Caenorhabditis elegans: one gene and its partners. The protein of the gene in region 2 purifies or fractionates together with the protein of the main gene of each other region. This does not show direct contact. Each region holds a gene or a part of one and is shown on either strand. Other genes may lie near its edges. The genes, in order: klo-1, cbl-1, nas-36 and C01G10.7.

Region 1 (4,559 bases), on a different chromosome or scaffold from region 2:
TTTATTAGTTTTATTCAAATGTATTATTTATCTCTTGTAAATGCATTTTCCTGTAAAATGCGTTTCTAACGTTTATTTTTAAGACTAAATTTATTTTCAAATAATCGGTATATTTTCAGATACGAAAGAGTCCGAAGCACAATACTCCGTCGTCACTCTCGTGGCTTCAAATCAACTGCAACAATTTCAATGTCTAATTTTGGAACTGAACCAACAAATTTAGGTGGAGCATCTAGTTTACTTATTGAACTAGATGGAAAACAGGTGGAAAGATCTACTTCTGATTGTTAAACTTTTTAAAATCATTGAATATGAATATTTTTATATCTAGAACGTTAGGAGTTCAAACATTTTCAGAATCTTAGGTATTCGAAAACATGAAAACATTATTACGGATTGAATTAAAAAATTATGTAGTGTATTAATCAACAATAGAGAAAGTTTTTTTTTAATCAACTGTTTCCTACAACTAAACGTTTTCCATGTTCCTTTTTTCAATTACGGTTTTCCATTTCCACGTGTTTTCTATTGTTTCAACCATCACAAATGCTTTAAATGTTTTTACTAGCATGCAATCTATTTATTATCAATACATTTGTATCCATTCTACAAAAGATTATGATGCTTTTTAAATTCGCGAATAAAAGTTTGATAATATTTAGCCGAATATTTCATGGTTCTTGTTTTGTCTGGAGAATCAAAATCGACGCGACAAATTCCAAATTTAACACCGAATCCGTCATCCCATTCGAAATTATCCATCAGAGTCCAGAGTGTGTAGCCAATGACATTACATCCTTCTTCCAGTGCTGAAATTCAAGTGATCGAAGTTTCCCAAAAATTAATTGAATATCATTGTTTTTTTATTTTTCGAAACTTTTTTCAAATTTAATTTACCTTTAGCTACCGCTTCCAAATGTCCGGAAATAAATTTTATGCGATGCTTATCATCAAGTATCTCCTCTTCTTTTCTTCCTTCACCTCCTACCAAATCCATACATCCATTTTCAGTGATGAATACAGGAATATTATTGTACTTGTCTCTAACATATTTCAAAAGCCCGAACAAACCGTCTGGTGCATAACGAACCCATGTCTCACCACAAATTCTGCAAATTTCTTGGTTATAGGAGAACTTGAAAAAACCAACTTTTCCCATTTTCCTTCATTAAACGCATAAGCTGCGTCTCTTTCTGATTGAGATGCTGGCTCCTCCCCATCATTTAAATTACGAACAATGTGGCTGAGATAATAGTTTATTCCCAGGAAATCAGTGCTTCCTGAAAAAATTATAATTGAAAAAAATTGAAAATTATAATTGGTAAAATATATCAGCAAAATGAATTTAGAGCTGCCAATATGGTGCAAGGCTAACTTAGAAAAAAAAAGTTAACTAATCTTTTTAAAATCAAAAATTTCCGATCGACAGCTAACCTTTGATGAGTTTCTTTTCTTCTTCAGAGAACTTTGGTAGAAACGGTAATTTTTCTCTCATTGAGGCTGGGAAGTCTCCGGAATCAGTCAAAATTGGTTCAATTGTATAATTGAAGAGCCAATCCAGCGCTCGATTACATGCCTGCAAATCATTAAAGTAAGGAAGTCAATAGTTTGACTAACATCAAGATCTGCAGGAGAATCTGAAGCAGGTAGACAGAATCTTCCACCATTTGTTATTCCGATCAAGCCATTTTGAGTTTCTTTGTAGTTTTTCTGGTAGTTTCGATAAATTTTTGCGTGAGTAAGAAGCATGTTGGTGGCTGCACTGAAAATAAAATATTCAATCAGCTTATTCCAAAACATTTGTTTTTTCCTTCGCTTTCAAAGGTTTTTTTCTTCAGAAACTGACATGTAAGGTGCTTGTTCATGATTCTCGATTTCTGGACGATCTGGGCATAACCAAAGTTCTCCTTCAATCTTTACAACTGATGACCAAGCCTGCATGTTTATTTCGTTGAAAGTTATCCATGTCTTCACAAGATCTCCAAACTTTTGGAAACATAAATCTGCGAATTTCTCGAAATGTTCACAATTCTCCTTGTTTAGCCATGATGTTCCATTGTCATAAATTGAAAGAGGCATGTCGAAATGGAACAGTGTCACCTAAATAACATGTTTTCGCTTTTTTATGTTTCAAAGAAATTATTACATACAATTGGCTCAATTCCATTGTCACGTAGTAGAAGACAAATATCACGATAGAATTGAATGCCATCTTCATTTATTGTTTTTAAAGTTCCATCTGGAAGAATTCTGGACCAAGAAATTGAAAATCGGTAGCTGGTGACACCGATTTTTGAGAGAAGAGCAACGTCTTCTTTGTATTTTAGACGACCTTCACAGGAAAGATCAGGGTCCGAGTTATCATGAATTCTACCATTTTCAGAACGAATTGAATCCCAAGTACTGAATCCGCGGCCTTAATGATTTCAGAAGTAAATTTCTAAAAGAATAATTTTTAATTCAAAATAAACTTACCATCTAGATTTTTTGCACCTTCAATTTGATACGCCGCGGTAGCCGTAGCCAATTGGAAATTTTTTGGAAATTTAGTTGGCAAAGACATAACCGAACAAGACATCGACGGAATGATAACTGATAAGAGGTATTTTGTGTGTCAACAGTTGTGTTCAATCGGGTTATGTAAATGAACATTGTTTGTGCCTGATAATAGAGGTATGGAAAATCATATTATTTATGTACATGAAATGGAATACCAGAAGGTTTGAACGAATACTGTAAGAGGTCAGAATATCAAAATTAGAGTTTGATAAAAAATAAATAAATTATTTCAAAGCTTTTTGAGTTGCTGAGAGCATTGAATGAGGCAAACTGGATCCTTTTGAATATCAGTGATTGAGTAATCACGAAGAAGACGAGAACAATCATCAATTGTGATTGAATGACATTCAGGACCTTCTAATGTACATGTACAGGTGATACATGGAGTTATTCGTTTAGTTTTTCCACGATTAACTACACGTTCATCAACAAGGCAATAGTCTCGTTCAACCCATTTGTTCAGGTCAATCTCAGAAAGTTCAGAGCATGTCATCGGAGAGTTTCTGAAAATTATATTTAAGTTTTTGAACTAATTATTAATAAGAAAACTGTTTTTTTAAATTTTTTAAAAATGTTTATTAAACTGAAAATGATCATTTATAGACCTGTTCAATAAATCTCCAACTTACGTAAGATCGTCTGGCATAAGGAACACATTGGGTTGAATATTTGCGGCATATTCACTATTATCGCAAATAATTCTTGACAAACTGGCTTTTCGAATTTCGACAAGTTGATCTGGAGTAAATCGAACCATTGAATCACTTGTCTCATAATAAAATCTGTCGCATTTTTTCAATCTTTGCATTTGTTCACCAATAAGACATGCTAATGTTGGGCCAACAAGTGAGCCTTAATAATTATTTTAAAAAAGCAACAAGTAGAAATTCCGGGTCACCTCTAGTTGGAGATTCACTCATGATTCCCGGGAACAGGTCAATGTCGTCAACATGAGCATAAGCTGTTTCTAAAGCTGTCACAGCTTCTGAGTTCATGACATCACGAAGATCAGAGAAAGCCGATGCTTTTCGAAGTCCACAGTGTTTTCTGAAATACTTCTTAAAATATAAATTTGAAATGTTTACATGCGAACAATATGCTCAGCCGATACCCATCGAGGTTAACCACTTAATCTCGTAATTATGTGTTAAATATTTCGCCTAAGAAACCCAAGTGAACAACTAGGGAAATTGCTAAATTGTGATGACAGAAACGGTTGACGCAAAACGTAAAGATATGCTTGGAGACATTTCGCGCCACAAATGTAGGCATTTTCATCTACTGCCGGTTTTATAAAATTTAAATTGAAATACAAACCTATATGCATTGTAACCTTGAACTCCGTGATCTCTGCCTCTTTGAATATTCACTGCTGGAAGATCCAGTCCAGTTAGTGGACCACCAGGTTTTGCGAACAAATGATTCCGAACAGCCGTGACAATATGACGATCAAAAGCCATACTGTTTGCTCCAATTAATCCCATTAAGATTGACTCCATATGACCGGAGTTCTTATCGTAAACTGGAGATGGATTCGAAAAAGTTTCAGTTAAATTTACATGATTTGTCATGTTTTGGAAATTGTCATTCATTCGTGTGAATACACCACGGATCAAAGAATGTCCAAATCGAAATGCAGATGTTGACATTTCTTGGGATATTGTGGCATCACATTGATCATCGTAACCCTCAAAATATCCAGCTGTTTGTGGCATTAGACCCCATTTTTCCATATTCTGGCAACCAAGAACCACTGGCAACCATTCTTTGTAAATAATGTGTTGAAGTTGTGCAATGTTGATTCGACGGGATTCCTATAAACTAGGTGGGTTTATATAGGAATTTCAATACAACATTCAAGAATTGCAACTAACCTGGAAGAGCTTCTCGTCACTCCAGAAATTATTTATTTGCTTCAAATATCTTGCAATTCTGTTATGTTCTCTCAAGAATATATTGTGAATTGCAGTGAGACCCGGCTGCTCATTACTTCTTTCATC
Region 2 (5,444 bases):
CGAGCAGCTCATTTGTCAATAGAGACAGAATCTATTGAGAGAATATTACAGAAAGAGAGATAAGAGGTATGAGAATATGATAACGACAAAAATATCTTTTGTTTTTTCAAAGTCCATATTTCATTATTTTTTAATTTTTGGAAAGTTTTGCAACAGATTTTTTTTCAATTTGTTGACAAAACCAAAAATTACAAAAAAAGATAAACATTTGTCGACGTCCTTGAAACAAAATTGAAACTTGGAAAATTTTGCTAATTAGCAAGCAACGAAAATGTTTTTTTTTGTTTCTCCGAGTTCTTAATCGCGCGGTTTTTTTTTGCAGAAAAGTATAAGATTTTTTCTAAATTCCAATCTCCAGTTTTCCTGATAGTGATTGCCATTTTCAATGTGCACTTCTACTAAAGAATCAATGATCTCTAAGCAATATAATTTCCTTTTGAGATACATTCAATATTATCAAGTTCTTAATCGTTTCACTAGTGATAGAATCATCTTGTTTCCTGTCAATAGATATCATGTCAATTAATCTCTAATTCTCTACATTTTCTATTGTATATCATCTTTTTTATTTAGGAGAAGTACAATAAATCACTGATTGCAATTCATTTGTTACAAAAGTGAGACGGCACAAGCGATGATTTTTCTGAACTTTTATAGAATATCTATAGACTTTTGACAATAATCTGAAAAAAAACTGAAAAAAGAAGTTATTAATTTTTTAAAGAGAAATGATTTCGAAATGTTGAAGAAATTGCTCAAAGCTTCTCGAGGGCATCATTCAAATCTCCAATAATATCCTCCACATTTTCAATGCCAACGCTGCAAAAATTATTAAATTGTAGTTTCTAATAATTTACTCCTATTTAAGTTATTTTTAAAAAATGTTTTTAACTGGAAAAAATAAAATGGCCAAAACAATTTTAAGGGAGCACTTTCGAATTGAAAATCGGATATTGTCAAAATTGCCGATAGAAAGTTTCTGTTATGTACTTTAAATAGAATTTAAATACAAAAGTTTTGATTCAGAAGAACTCAGAGCGTACCTAAATCGGAGAAGTCCAGGGGCAACAGTCGGACCATCCAAATATCGAAGTAAATGTTTACCATGAGACATTGACAGAGGATGTTCGATTAAAGATTCAGTACCACCAAGAGATACTGCATGAATGATTAGTTTAAGACTCTGGAATAATAATTCTTCAGAATTTTCATTTAGATTAATAAACTAGCCTCAACAAGCTTGATTGCATTTTCAGCAGTTCCAACATCAAATGCAATCATTCCAGCAAATTGTTTCATTACTTGTTTAGCATATTGATGCTGTGGGTGGGATGGAAGTCCTGGATAAAAGACACGTTCAACTTTTGGATGGGATTCTAGAAATTCTGCAGTTTTCTGAGCATTTTCTGAAATCCTATCAACTCGCAATCCAAGAGTTTTGAGACCTCTGGTCAACAGGGCAGCGTCGTATGGACTCTGCAAGTTTCAAGTTTTTTGTTTTTTTTTCTACTCAGAAACTGCTTACCAAAGAACTTCCAGTCGTCAATTGTTGAAGTTTAAGTTTTTTCCAATTATCATAAGATGATACTGTAACAACTCCAGCAATCACATCCGTATGTCCTCCAATGTATTTTGAGCTGCAATTCTTTTCGAATTTTATTTACGAAAAAATCAGTGGGAGTTTTGTAAAATCAAATTTATTGTAGTTCAGTATGAGCACCTAACACTGCAAAATGTTTAAATTGTTCAAAGTTTCCAGTCAAAGTTCTGGTTACTTGCCAAAATTTCAAAAACTGGAAGCTTTTTACTAAAGTCTTTTACTTGGACATTTCAACACTATAGGAGATGATTCAAATCATTTCCTTACTGATGCTTCTCCTTCGACGCTTTTAAAAGAATGGAAAGTTTTACTTTAAAATTAATGTGGCCTAGACAAATTTTCAACTGCCAATCTCCGTTTTATTTTTGAGACTCGATCCACCTATGAATTAAATTTTGGAATAACTAGTCTTACCAGCTATGAAGACTGATGTCTGCTCCAAGTTTCAGTGGTTGAATGTTGTATGGAGATGAGAAAGTTGCATCAAGACATGTAAGAATCTGAAAAACAGTAAAATTAATAGATTACTTGAATAATTAATCTAGCTCTCTTAATCGTATATTTTTTAACCTTATATTTCTTTGCCACTTCAATTGTTCCCAAAATATCTGGAACTGCCATCGTTGGATTGGCAATTGATTCAAAGTAAATCATCTTAGTATTTGGCCGAATTGCTTTTTCAACAGCTCCAGCAAAATCCTTTTCTTTTTCAACGTCAACAGAAGTTATTTCAACTCCAAAACGAGCCAATGTCTCATTAATAAATGATGATGTACCACTATAAATTGGGTTCATAACAATCATATGAGCACCGGAACTCAGAAATTCCAGAAAAACTGCACTAATCGCTGCAAGACCCGAGTTGTATAGGAGGGATCCTGCACCGCCTTCTATCTCATTAATCACAACTTCCACATTTTCAGTTGTTGGATTTCCGCATCGACGATATACAAAGTTGGCACCGTGATTGTCTTCATTGAATTGATCAACTGTTTTGAAACGATAAGTACTTGAATGATAAATTGGAACAACTACTGGATCAGCATTTGAAAGTGGTTTTGCATGAGATGTTGAAATTCGACTGTCCAAGTGGAGACTTTCAAATCTGATTAAAAGGATATGTGAAAACAATTCCGTTACTAACAAAACTTTTTTTATACATTCAAAAAAGTTTGATCTGCGTTCGGGGGGAATCGAACCCCCGTCGAATGCTTGGAAGGCATCCATGCTGACCATTACACCACGAACGCGGTGATTTGATGAAAATAGATATAAAAAAGAAGAAAACATAAATATATGTACGATTTTATCGGGATTTATAGGGATACATAGTCGGAAAATCAAGTTCCCGTCTTTTAAATACCCTTTCCATCATTTCTTTATAAAACCACCGCGTTCGTGGTGTAATGGTCAGCATGGATGCCTTCCAAGCATTCGACGGGGGTTCGATTCCCCCCGAACGCAGATTGTTTTATTTTTTAAAGTTTTACCAGAACACCCTTGCCCTAGAACACATTTGCTGGCAAACTCTGCATAGGAGAAACACATATACCTATCGCAACTTGTGGTTCAATCTCCAGGTTTTTTAATTTCACGCCAGAATGCATTATTTAGACGAGGAGGCCGGTAGGTTTCAGGCTGTCACAGGCCTTGAAACCGTGCCTACCTCTGATGGATGCGCTACAGTAGTCAATTAAACATTGAAAAATAAAAAATGCAACGAAACTGAAAATTACGATGCCTAAAAAACCTAGTTTTTACTTTAGAAAATGACCGGGGAACTCCTTGAAATTCAGTAAACTCACTTTTCTCCCAAACGTTCTCTTGCCTCGTTATTTCCAGCTGGCCAGTTGAAACTGTCACTAAAAGAATTTCAACTATACGAGAATATCAGTGTGGACACTTACCTCATTGTGTCCAACAGCAAATAGAACTGAAATGTGATTACAAATGAAATGTATTTATCAGTTCTCCAATAATCTCTCGCTGATGCAAGATCAGATAGATTATCAGTTCTTATCATTAGTTAGTCTCCACATGATGACTTTAAAATTATCAGTGTTTTGTTAGTTTGGTTTTGGTAAATTTTCAACGAAATGTAGAGGTAAAATTTGCCAGCAAAGTTTATTCAACTTCATTCTTCTTGTAAAACTTTTCAAAATAAAACAATCTGCGTTCGGGGGGAATCGAACCCCCGTCGAATGCTTGGAAGGCATCCATGCTGACCATTACACCACGAACGCGGCGATTATGTGAAGAAAGGATGGAAAAGGTATTTAAAAGACGGGAACTTGATTTTCCGACTATGCATCCCTATAAATCCCAATAAAATCGTACATATAAAGATATTTTATTCTTTTTATATCCATTTTCGTTACATCACCGCGTTCGTGGTGTAATGGTCAGCATGGATGCCTTCCAAGCATTCGACGGGGGTTCGATTCCCCCCGAACGCAGATTATTTTATTTTGAAAAGCTTTACAAGAACATCTTGAAGTTGAATAAATCCCCCCGAAAGCAGAGGTAATTTTGGAATTGTTGAAACATTGTTACTGGATTGCTTAAAGCCATGGGTTTTCTAGCCGTCCTTCCTCCTTGTATAAGCTCATAAAATATTTATTCATATTCATTCAAGTAATACAATTTTTAACACAATTGTGATAATTCGGATACAGTTTAAGAAACAAAAAATTCAAATAATGAAAAAATACAGGAAAATCATAATTCATCTCGATCCACTGATGGTGATGGAGTGTTGATATCTGCAGAATTCAAAACTTTCGAAATTTCTGAATCGTATTCTGTCCATTCTTTGATAATACGTTTTGCCGAGTTCAGTTTTGGTTCTTTTGTCAGTGGATTGTTGCACTGAAATACATTTTTTAAAAATATTTTTTAAAAATATTGGTTTAACACAAAAAGTGCTTAAAAGTATTAAATCTCACCAAGTCAATTGTTTTTGCCTTTTCTTTACTTCCATCATCACACCATGTCTCACACCAAAGCCATTCCTGAGGTAATGATTTAATAGGAACTTCGTGAAGCATGTTGTTCGGAAGATCTTGATCCAAATTCGAAAGACTGTTCGGATCAGCAGATAGGCTGTCGTACCGACCACGAAGGCGGTCTCCAGCTGAGAACTCGCGGAACGCCTGAAAAATGTTGTATTATAAAAGAACATGCACGTTAGATAGGAAATGAAATTAATATTTTGTTACGAACAAGATTGTAAGCCTTGTAAGAGTACGGTAGTTTCTACTTGATTCTACTTCGTTTTCTTCAATTATTTCACTTTTTTTTGTATAAGATCCATTTTTCTACTACTTCGTTTTCCACGACTTAAATTGTAAAACAACGAAGTCTGGAAGCTACTGTAATTCTTCAAAGGCGCACAGTTTTTCACAGCTTCCTTTAAAAATATACAAACTTTTCGAAACCCAATTTCCCGTAATCCACAAAATTAATCCTTATATACCTTAAGATCAACAACATAAAGTGCACTAATATGATATTTTCGCCCCATCAAATGATTCTTCCAATATCCACTTTTCCAAAATCGGAATCCATCCATCTCTGTTCGACTCTCACAAAATGGAACATATCTGAATGAATAATAACAGTTAATTGGGTTCTTATATTGTAATTCTTACCCATAAGGAGCCCCATTTAAATTGAAATCCATCAATTCTTGTAAATCAGCTCGAACAACTTGATCGGCATCTACGAAGATGATTTTATCCACATTTAGAGGAAATAAAACATCCAAAAATAGAATCTGAAAAGTTTCAAGTGTGATTATCCAAAATTCTAATAAGATTTACCTTGTATCCCCACATAACTCTTT
Region 3 (6,648 bases), 1.8 Mb from region 2:
ATTTTAATCTGAAAGGTGAGAAATAGAAAAAAAGAAAAGAGACATAGACAGATACCGTTTCGTAATATGAAGGCTAAAAGATGGATTTAGAGATAAAGCTTAAGCCTTCTTAATTTCTCATTCTTCTCTTTCCATGGATCTCCAATGAGAAAAATGCAAAAAAACGCTTCGAATTAGAATAAAATGGAGTGTTGAGATGAGTGAAAGAAAGCTTCCGAATAACTAAAAACTGTAAGAAAAGACAATGAAGAACTAGTTGTTTTTACCAGATTTTAATCTTTCTTTGCATTTACAAATACTTTTCTATTTTCCGGAATACATTATTTCAGCAGTTCAAGATTACTATTTGATTCACCGTTTCAAGTTATGATAGGTAAGAACTTAGTGACCTTTTTCATTACCTAATTTTACCTTTTTTTTTAAATTTTTTTTATTATTTTTTATTTATTTATTTTTATTTAGAATTACCTTTGGATAAATTCACTAATGGACAAAATATGAAACAATTTTTGAAGAAAAAAATATATTTTTTATCGAGTTGAGTGAACAAAGATTTATAGAGAACATACGATAACTGTTTATTGATATAAAATTACAGAAAATCCTATAACAAGATTAGCAGAAAATTATTGTTTTTCTGAATAATTCACAAGAAATAAATTTAAGAAATAAAATGAAAACAACCCGTTTAAGTAGAAACAAGAAATGTGAATTTGAAAGACCTAGAAGGAAATAATTTAGAATATCTTGTATGACAATTAGAAAAATACATTAATGAAAATACAAATAGACATAGAAAATTGTTGCAAGTTTAGCCAAGACGTCGAAATTTGAAGAAAAACAATTCATGAAATATTTAAGATTCGAAAAGTATGGATGATTAAATAGAAAGCCATAATTCATCATGTTGATTTTCTTGATCAGATTGGCATACTCCATCAACATTAATAAACGGAGGACAACATTGTGGAGCATCACATGACGATATTGCAATGTCGTTTCTGCAGTTTTGAAAATAAAAACAACAGAATTCAAAGTAACGAAAATCTGTTGGAAAATGTTCAGACGAAATTGTCGATACAATGTTCCGAATACACAAGTTCCAAAAACTATGTAATTTTTTGAGTAATTCCAGCATCTTCAAAGCTCAAAAACTTTTTTTTAAATCAGAGTTGCTCAAGGTTTTTAAATTAATTTTTTTTTGAGAGTTTTTTTAAACACTATGTAAATTTTAAAGTAGTTTTTAAATTCCATATCAACTCACTTGGTACACACTTTTCCATTGCAAAGCCTATTATTTGATAGTAGCTTTGCGCAATGTTTATCAACAGGGCACGCTTTCAAATTACAGGTTCCAAATTCTTGTCGTCGTCCCCTGAAAGATAAATATCCTTACAAGGTTTGAATATATTTTCATTTGAAATCAATCAGGATCAACGCTCTCAAGGGTGTTAATTAAAAATCACTTACTCGCACTTTTTGCTTCTACATGATCTGACCCGACTTCTAATTCCACAACCTCCACATGTTCTTGAACACATTGACCATTCACCCCAATCTGCCCATACATTTGGTGCATCAACAGTTATTGGTGCCACTGGAAATTTGAAAATGTTATAACAAGAAAAATGAAAAAGAAACATACAAGTTGTTGTGATAATTGTTGGAGCAATTGTTGTCCTTGGTTCGGCATCGGCTGAATTATTTTTTAAAGACAGTTTAGGAAAAAGTATTTGCATTTTGGTTTTTTGGCTATTTTTAAAAGTTTTAATAATCAATTCATCTAAATACTTCAAATAATATATTTTTCTCAAAAGTCGCAATGCTCTGAATATAACGAAACATTTGGTTTTGATAATTAAAAAAATTTTCAGAGTTGTTTTAAATTTACGAAACCTCATCTGTCCAAATATTTTTAATCGGAAAACTCACTAGATTTTGCTTGAATTTTAAATCCAATATCCGTAGAAAGTTGTGATCGGAAAATAATAATAGCAGTGTCAGTCTGAGAAACAAAACTGATTTCTGGTTTATCATAGCAGCAGAATCTGAAATTTTAGTTAACACACCCATTTTCAAACATCAATTTGAAGAAAAAAGAAACCTGAATCCAGTATTTCTCAAGTCATCAGAAATCTTCAGCTCTACAAAATCAACGCATGTAGATGTACAGAGAAATGAGAAATCTTCAATAAATTCAATTTCCACTCGTTTTCCTTTTTCCGCTTTCAACAACCAAGAACATTTTTGATCAGCTTCATATCCTGGATCCGGATAATTTGGAGATTCAATCTCTTTCCATTCTTCAGTTAATTTAATAATTCCACCACATTCAGCGTCTAAAATATGCCTATTCATATAATCTCTAATTATAGTAAGAATAAGATAGAGATTTGAAAAATTGAGATCTCAGCTTCTTGTCAAACTTCAAAAATTCTCAAAAAACATACTTTTCGAGTCTTCATTCTTCTCACACTTTTCTCCACCAAGACCATCTGGACAAAGACATTCGGAGCATTTTGATGGTCTCATATATCCTCCATTTTCACATTTGGTTTTTTCAGACTTGCATTCATCTGAAACAATTCACAATTGAAATTATTTTATTTTTTTAGGAGAATCCAGTAATATATTTCTGGTTTAAAGATGGGCGGAGCAAATAGCTGATTGGCCTTGCAGTTCTCATATTAGAGGTTATTCAAAAAATGAGATTAACCTAAATTTTTCAATCGTTTGTTCTTGTACTTCAGCATATCGAAATACTCCGAGTATTTGAATATATAATCTATATATTTTCCTAACTCCATCTTTAAATACTAATAGTGGGAATATTAATATTTTCAAGAATAGTTCCAATTCCACATAAATTTCCTGATTAAAAAAAACTTTTTAATTGTCATACCTTTACAATAGGCAGTATTTATAGTTGCCACGTCATAAAACGAAAGTTTTTCTCGTTGTCCAATAGTCTGTTGATAAAGTGAATCTCTTGTAACAACTGTTTTACTTTTCTGATCAACACTAAATGCAGTACTTCCATAATGCATTACTGATCCCAAATCATACGGTATTCCCAATGTATCAATTTCATCGTCACGTTGAAGGAAATCACTTATATACGAAGGAAGAATAAAATCTCGTTCGATCTGAAATCAAGGAACAATTGACTCAATCAAAAATCAATTTAAAGGTACATACAGTAACATAACCCAATGCATCAGGTCTACTCTGTTCATGCCAAAGCCCGAGTGCGTGTCCAATTTCATGTTCAATGACGCCCATCTGTCAAAAAAAGAGGTGTTAGGAGTTCAATCAAACGACAAAAAAACTTGCTTTAACACAACTTTCACCAATTGAAATACCTTGACGACCACCGTTTCGTCCGATCATAGAGTAGCATCTAAAAATATTAATTTTGTACTGTTTTAAATAAGCCTAAATTGGATTTATTCAAATTAAAAGCTAACGGAAATTTGTTTGAGTATAGTTGAAATTGTACCGCATGACCATCATAGAAAAATTGTAAAAATTATCTTTTTTTTTTTAGTTTTGAGAATTTTTTTTGATAAATAGATAATTTTTGAGAAACTTTAAGCATCGTTGCAACAATGTATAGATACAACTAATTATAATGGGAATATAATATATTAATCGTAAACCATTTTTTTCTCTAAATGTTTTACTTTAACTTTAAAAAAGTTGAAATAAGTTCTTTACCCTTGTCCACTGAAAAACTCGATATAATCACCATCTGGTGAATCAGAAACATTTTCAAAAGTGATACACGTGGAATCTTCCCAGAAACGAATCGCTGCGATGATTTGACTAATTGTATAGAAATCTGAATTTAATTATATTTTTTGAAGGCAAAGTAAATATCCTATTTACCTATACTTTCATGAAAACGATACTTGATTGGCATGGTTTTCCACGTGGCAGTTTTATCCGAAACAAATGATCTTAAATGTAAAGTAATTAGAACAATCTTTAAAATGTATAATTTAAAAAATTACCTTCTCAATCGTTTGGTTTTATCTTTTGATAAAGCTTTCAGAATATCAACTGCTTGACGTCGAGATAGAAAAATATCACCTGAAAGCATTATTTGATACTCACAAAAACTTAATAAATACCTTCAAACAAAAACGGTGAAACTTTTTTATTAATTGTTCCTTGTTGAGTACTAATTGCCACTTCTTTCTTTGAGTCTTCAACTGCCTAAACAAAAAAAATTACAGAAAAATATAAATGACAAATCATACATCATGACCAAATTCTCTTCCCTTAAAACTTCTTGAATGCGCCAATTTTTTCATTTTAATAAGCAATTCTTCAACAGTTTCCAATTGTTTTTCTTCCACATTGAAATGCTCCTAAATTAATTTTATTCATTATTATAATCTCTATTTTTAAAAATACAGGCACACAAAATTCCGAGAATGCATATTGCGCAAAATATCTCGCAGCGAAAATTACAGTAATTCTTTAAATGACTACTGTAGCACATGTGTCGATTTACGGACAAGAGCTTTAAAATGAATTTCTTTCCGAATAGTGACACCGGCACTTCATTTTTCTTTGTTTCTTCATTTTCTAATGTTTTTCTTGATTTTAATTTTATACCGAAAAATCAACGAGTTTGTATCTTCTCAGAAATCGAGCCCGTAAATCGACACAAGCGCTACAGTAGTATTTAATGAGTTACTGTAGTTTTCGCTACGAGATATTTTGAGCGTCAAATATGTTCCCGTAATAGATGCATTCAAACATGCGAAATTGAGATGAATTTAATGAAAATTCCTCCGATTGCCAAATTTTTAACTGAAATTTTGGAAATGTTTCTGAAAAATCTTGGCAAACCTTAAATTCACTAGCAACCAAAAGTGCAGGATCATCAGCTTTCGAGCAAATAGAAATAGAAATTAAAGAATTAAATAAAATAATTGAATGACATAATCTCATATTTCTCATGAAATAGAATAATAGTTCAATTAAAAGAGAAGATAGGAAAGTGTATGAGATATTCTCTTTTTTTTGGCAAATGAACAGAAAAAGTGAAAGTTTATCACATAGTGGGAGGAGGAGGGAAAAGCTGATGGAAAATGAACACAATTGTGTGACAAAAAGGACACATTTTTAGATGATTGTTGTAAAATTTAATGAAACTTGACATTTGGAAGGTTTTTCGCTTTAGTAACACTCACTTCCGGGTCATTTATCTTGAGAAAATCATTATCTGAAGACTATTTTTGGGGTTTCCCACTTTTGATGTTATAACAATAGGTTTTGATTTTTTTAAATCTTGGTAATGATGGGGAAATTGTTTTAAACCATGCTAATAATTCAAAATAACAATTAAATTTTAAATTCGCGCGCGAGGTTTAAACTTCTTGGTGGTTATTCAAAAAGGAGTTCAGGGAAATTTAAATTTTATCGAGTTTTAAAAATATTGGTTTTTTATCTAGACATATGTACGGTAGTCCCATATGCAATTTCCCATGCAAACTAAATCACTGTACTTTTGTATCCACCAAACTGAATTTGTACGAAAACTAGTTGAGGATGTCGTTTATATCAAATAAGATATCAATGAGTGGGTGCAGTCGACAATAAACCAATGCGGAAAATATCGTCTACTGCACACCATCGTGCTCACCGACAAAAAGCGAGACGATTTTAAAGAAAAAAGATGGAAAAATGAAAAAGTAAAAGAAAAAATAGGGAGAGGAAAACAGCGAGAAAAATGAGTTTGGAAGTGTGGTTTTAGGAAAAGGAGGGAAAATGGATGAGAGGGGAAGAGTAGAAATAGAAAAATACCAAAAATTAAAAATAAAATCTTTAAACATAGACAAAAGCTGCCATTATTTAACTGTTAACAGTGACTAGGTGTGTTGAAAAATGGGAGAAAAGAAAGAAAAAAGGGGCAAAGCTTTATAATTCGGGGTGAAGAGACCTTTAGGGGGTGTGTGGCGGAACGGGACGAATTCCAACTGAATTTAGATTTTTAAAGTTTTCTTGTTTTCAAATAGCGATAAGGCTACACGGGAGTGAGAAGGGCGGGGGATGTGGCGTGAATAATGACAATATATAATAAATAAGAAAAAAGGAAAAAATAAATAATTGTGAGTTTTATGTGTTATTTTTGTGACAGAAAAATTAGGGATCCTAGTTGAGAAAAAGAAGGGCGGTGAGACTATTATGAATGAATCAGAGGTTAAAAAAAAGCCCATATACATCTGAAATTGCAACTTTTTCCAAAAAATAAAAACAGTTGCAACCATAATGTACATGTAAAGCTCTCAAATTATAGATGCATACTCGGGGGATGAGAAAAATAACGAATCTTTAAAAATTTGGGAAAAGTAAGCAAAGATACACACAGAATGGTAGAAGAGGGCGGCGAAGACGACAGCTTAATACAAGCCGCATCCACGAAGATTATTGGCAATAATCACATCGGTGACAGCGTCAAACACAAATTGAATGTTAGTTGTGTCTGTGGCACATGTCATGTGGCAATAGATTTCCTGCAAATAAGAATATTATTTCAAAAGAAAACAAATTAAATGAAATAATGAATTAAAATTATTACCTCAACACTCAACTTTAACTACCTATTCAAATATGAAACTACAGTAACCGCAATAT
Region 4 (3,291 bases), on a different chromosome or scaffold from region 2:
TGTTAGCCCTTCTCTTGAAAGAGAGAGAGATCAAAAGGGAGCCACGGAGGTGGAGCTTGATGTTGAGTAGGGTAAAAGTGTATAAAAGATTCGAGTAAAGAGGGGAAAACATAAACTTCGCTTTGATCTCTCCTAGAAAATGAGATTCCTTACACTGATCGCCACTCTTCTCGTGCTTTTCTCCACTGCCAACGCTTATTATGTAAGTTCCTATTGATTATCTGATTCCCATTTTTTTGTTTCAGCTCTACTATTACTACCCGAACAACGGTTACAACAACAATAACAATAACGGATACACGACTTATTACTACTACCCGAATAATAATAATAATAACAATAATGGTCAAACTTATTACTATTACGATAACAATGGATACAATAATGGTTGCTCCGGCTGCAGTAACAATAATGGATACACTTACTACTACCCGAGCAACAGCAATGGATACACTACTTATTACTTGACTTATGGAAAGAAGTGATTTGTCTGAATTTGAACAAATAAAGAAATTTTAAAATTACTCGTTTTTATTATATTACACTGGCAACTAGAGCTATATTTAAAAATGTACATAAAAAGTTTTACAACATTTAGAATTTAGAATTTAATTCTGAACTCTCTCCACGAGCTGAATAATATTCAATGCCTGCAGCAGAAGTGGTCGATCGATCATTTGTCCTCTAAACTGGAAAGCTCCTTTTCCTAATGCCTCGTGCTCACTGTAAGCGTGGACCAGCTCCTGAGCCCATTCGATTCGATCCTTCGGAGGCAGAAATTGCTCCTGGACCACAGACACTTGACTTGGATGAATGACTTGTTTTCCAGTGAAACCCCACTGCCACCCTTCTGCAGACTGACGACGGAGACCGTCAAGATCCTTGATATCTATGTAGACACTGTCGATTGCTTGAAGTTGGAATGCTTTACAGCAAGTCACAAATTTCTGTCGAGCGAATAGGGTTTCAGTGCCGTGAGAGCTTCGTGTAGCTCCGATATCTGCACAGAAATCGTCTGATCCAAAGACAACTGCATCTAGCTTGAAGAATCCGGCTTGTTTATGAAGATTTAGAGTTGATGAGACTATTCGTGGCATATCCAGAAGAGCTCGTGCAGATTCGATCCAGATAACAAGCCGAGTGTTCGTGTTTGTGATCCGTTCATCTCCGTAGTGTTCACGGAAGATGTTGTAGATGGTGACAAGGTCTTCAGGGCAGTCTACTTTCGGAATCATAAATGCTTGTGGCAACTTTTCAGCTTTCGATACTGCCTGAAATTAAAAAATTCGTGAGGATAAAGTTTGAAAAATTCAAAAATAAATCTTACAATGATATCATCTTCGAGAAGACCACTGCTTACAGAATTGACACGTAGACCAAGCTCCTGGCATGCCAATGTGTGATATGGCAGTTTATCAAGAGCCGCCGCAGCCTGAAAACTCAAATTGTAGACAAATTTCCAATTACTTTTCACGTACTCGAACTCTAGCATCAGCTTTAGCCGTCAGAGCAACGCCATCTTCTAGCTCCAAAACTACTGAATCCGCTTGCATCATTGGAACTTTATCCAGCATTTTTTGATTGCTGGCTGGAACGTATAGAAGTGCACGTCTTGGAACATACTTTGCTGCGTCCCGAACTCCGGCAAACTGTGAGATGTGCCTAATTATCGTTTTAGGAAGCATTTTTCTGAAATTGAAAAAATTAATTTATTTTAAAAAAATGTGTAACGTAAAATCTGAAAAAAAAAAACAAAAATAAATAACCAATTACGTGCGTAAATCCACACAAAAATTGCAATGCAAGCTCGCCCTATTGATAAGCGGTCGTGGCCTGCTGGCCTAGTTTCTTCCATTTTTCATGAATTTTCTCGAAATTAATTGAGTTTCTCCTGTTTTCAACGAAATTTCAAAGATTTCTTGTTTTGATTTCAACGTTAAATATTTATTTTCAAGTTTTAAATTGAAATTCCATTGTTTTAAGTACAAAACGACTTAATCTGGCTTGATGTTCACCTTAAAAATCTCGATAAACTGACTTAAATTAATTTCAGGGAATTTAAATGGCCAAGTGGGGAGAAGGAGATCCACGCTGGATTGTTGAAGAACGAGCCGATGCAACAAACGTAAACAATTGGCATTGGTGGGTCTCGATTGAAGTCATAGCTTTGAGCTGAATAAGTATGTTTTAGGTCGGAGAAGAATGCAACCCCGTGGTCTTTGAACCGACTCCGTGAACTTCTCACCGGATTTTCGTCCGAGGTATAATTAATAGTTGAACAAGATCGTATTAAGAGTATTCGTTTTCAGGATGGCCCAATTGTCGTGACAATCGATGAGATCAAAAAGATCGACGGAGAAGCAACGGCAAACAACCGGAAGGCTAAGCTCATCTTCCTTTTTGAATGGGTTATCGAAGGAACATTCATTGCTCGTGTTTCTGGCAGTGAAGACGAATATAAAGGAACTTTCGATATCCCAAACTTGAGTGATGAGAACGATGCATCCGAAGTGGATGTGAATTCGTCATTGAGTGGAAATGGCCCAATGGCTCATCAAATCCGCCAAGTTCTTAACAAATCGTTCATTGCAAAGATTCAAGATGTTATGGGAATCTATATCCGTGAATTGAAGGAAGAATTCAGCAAGGGTCTCATTCTGCCAACTGATAAAGTGAAGCCACAAGTCGTTACTACTGGAAAGACTTCAGTCGTTGACAAACGTCAGTTCCAAAACACTGTTGTCGCGGAAAAGGACGCTTCCACTTCTGGAAATGAAGTGTTCTCCACCAAAGAGGTTTCAACTTCCGATACCTACAAGGCCACACCGGATAGAGTTTTCGAGGCGCTCACAGAGACTCAATTCGTTCGTGGATGGACAAACAATTCGATCGGAGAGTGGAATTTCAAGGAAGGAGGATCATTTGCATTGTTCGGGGAAAACGTGACTGGAACATTCGAGAAGATTGAGCCGAACAAGGAGATTGTGAAGAAATGGCGACTGAAAAAGTATCCAAACAATCATCATGCAACCATCCATTTCCAGTTGAAAGATACTGTAAGTTTTAGAACAAACGAGGATAAACCTTCTATTATAATAAATTCTAGGGATCTGGAACGGATATCAAAATCATCGCTAAAGATGTTCCAACTCATCTCGCTGAAGAAACTCAACAAGGACTCGATCGTTACTACCTTTCAAGCATTGGTCGTACTTTCGGATTCAGCCAGCGAATGTGAAAAAATGAAAAATTGCAAATCTCCTGTTTTTGATGTTCTCCGATCTTCTAAAC

What was found.
Region 1: the proteins of cbl-1 (region 2) and klo-1 fractionate together in Caenorhabditis elegans (co-fractionation; one large-scale study listed by BioGRID). This does not show direct contact.
Region 3: the proteins of cbl-1 (region 2) and nas-36 fractionate together in Caenorhabditis elegans (co-fractionation; one large-scale study listed by BioGRID). This does not show direct contact.
Region 4: the proteins of cbl-1 (region 2) and C01G10.7 fractionate together in Caenorhabditis elegans (co-fractionation; one large-scale study listed by BioGRID). This does not show direct contact.

The regions. Positions count from the first base shown.
Region 1 is NC_003282.8:7,745,426-7,749,984, forward strand, and holds klo-1 (Glycoside hydrolase family 1 protein), read right to left. Parts: upstream 2,577-4,559; 5' UTR 2,564-2,576; coding exon 2,476-2,563; intron 2,417-2,475; coding exon 2,151-2,416; intron 2,101-2,150; coding exon 1,847-2,100; intron 1,763-1,846; coding exon 1,618-1,762; intron 1,577-1,617; coding exon 1,435-1,576; intron 1,281-1,434; coding exon 1,151-1,280; intron 1,110-1,150; coding exon 898-1,109; intron 810-897; coding exon 607-809; 3' UTR 554-606; downstream 1-553. Other genes in the region: npr-35 (G-protein coupled receptors family 1 profile domain-containing protein), read left to right, coding at 120-291; C46A5.4 (Peroxidase), read right to left, coding at 2,789-3,062, 3,189-3,411, 3,458-3,606, 3,877-4,373, 4,434-4,559.
Region 2 is NC_003279.8:9,326,036-9,331,479, reverse strand, and holds cbl-1 (plant cystathionine gamma-synthase), read right to left. Parts: upstream 3,624-5,444; coding exon 3,508-3,623; intron 3,463-3,507; coding exon 3,406-3,462; intron 3,074-3,405; exon of another isoform or gene 2,990-3,073; intron 2,854-2,989; exon of another isoform or gene 2,775-2,853; intron 2,706-2,774; coding exon 2,171-2,705; intron 2,101-2,170; coding exon 2,015-2,100; intron 1,638-2,014; coding exon 1,526-1,637; intron 1,477-1,525; coding exon 1,231-1,476; intron 1,184-1,230; coding exon 1,044-1,183; intron 820-1,043; coding exon 756-819; 3' UTR 552-755; downstream 1-551. Other genes in the region: uggt-2 (UDP-glucose:Glycoprotein Glucosyltransferase), read right to left, coding at 4,319-4,468, 4,546-4,752, 5,076-5,202, 5,251-5,375, 5,422-5,444.
Region 3 is NC_003279.8:7,525,621-7,532,268, reverse strand, and holds nas-36 (Zinc metalloproteinase nas-36), read right to left. Parts: upstream 5,046-6,648; 5' UTR 4,963-5,045; coding exon 4,861-4,962; intron 4,374-4,860; coding exon 4,263-4,373; intron 4,219-4,262; coding exon 4,134-4,218; intron 4,093-4,133; coding exon 4,014-4,092; intron 3,960-4,013; coding exon 3,889-3,959; intron 3,842-3,888; coding exon 3,718-3,841; intron 3,401-3,717; coding exon 3,334-3,400; intron 3,283-3,333; coding exon 3,199-3,282; intron 3,147-3,198; coding exon 2,903-3,146; intron 2,577-2,902; coding exon 2,451-2,576; intron 2,340-2,450; coding exon 2,105-2,339; intron 2,049-2,104; coding exon 1,933-2,048; intron 1,697-1,932; coding exon 1,646-1,696; intron 1,598-1,645; coding exon 1,471-1,597; intron 1,376-1,470; coding exon 1,265-1,375; intron 1,002-1,264; coding exon 881-1,001; 3' UTR 554-880; downstream 1-553. Other genes in the region: goa-1 (Guanine nucleotide-binding protein G(o) subunit alpha), read right to left, coding at 6,414-6,527. UniProt on the Caenorhabditis elegans protein: Metalloprotease. Involved in molting, a process during larval stages in which a new cuticle is formed and the old cuticle is shed.
Region 4 is NC_003283.11:15,084,145-15,087,435, reverse strand, and holds C01G10.7 (Citramalyl-CoA lyase, mitochondrial), read right to left. Parts: upstream 1,690-3,291; 5' UTR 1,686-1,689; coding exon 1,479-1,685; intron 1,433-1,478; coding exon 1,328-1,432; intron 1,272-1,327; coding exon 609-1,271; 3' UTR 518-608; downstream 1-517. Other genes in the region: C01G10.15 (FIP (Fungus-Induced Protein) Related), read left to right, coding at 140-202, 246-485; ahsa-1 (Activator of Hsp90 ATPase AHSA1-like N-terminal domain-containing protein), read left to right, coding at 2,063-2,142, 2,192-2,261, 2,310-3,056, 3,107-3,238.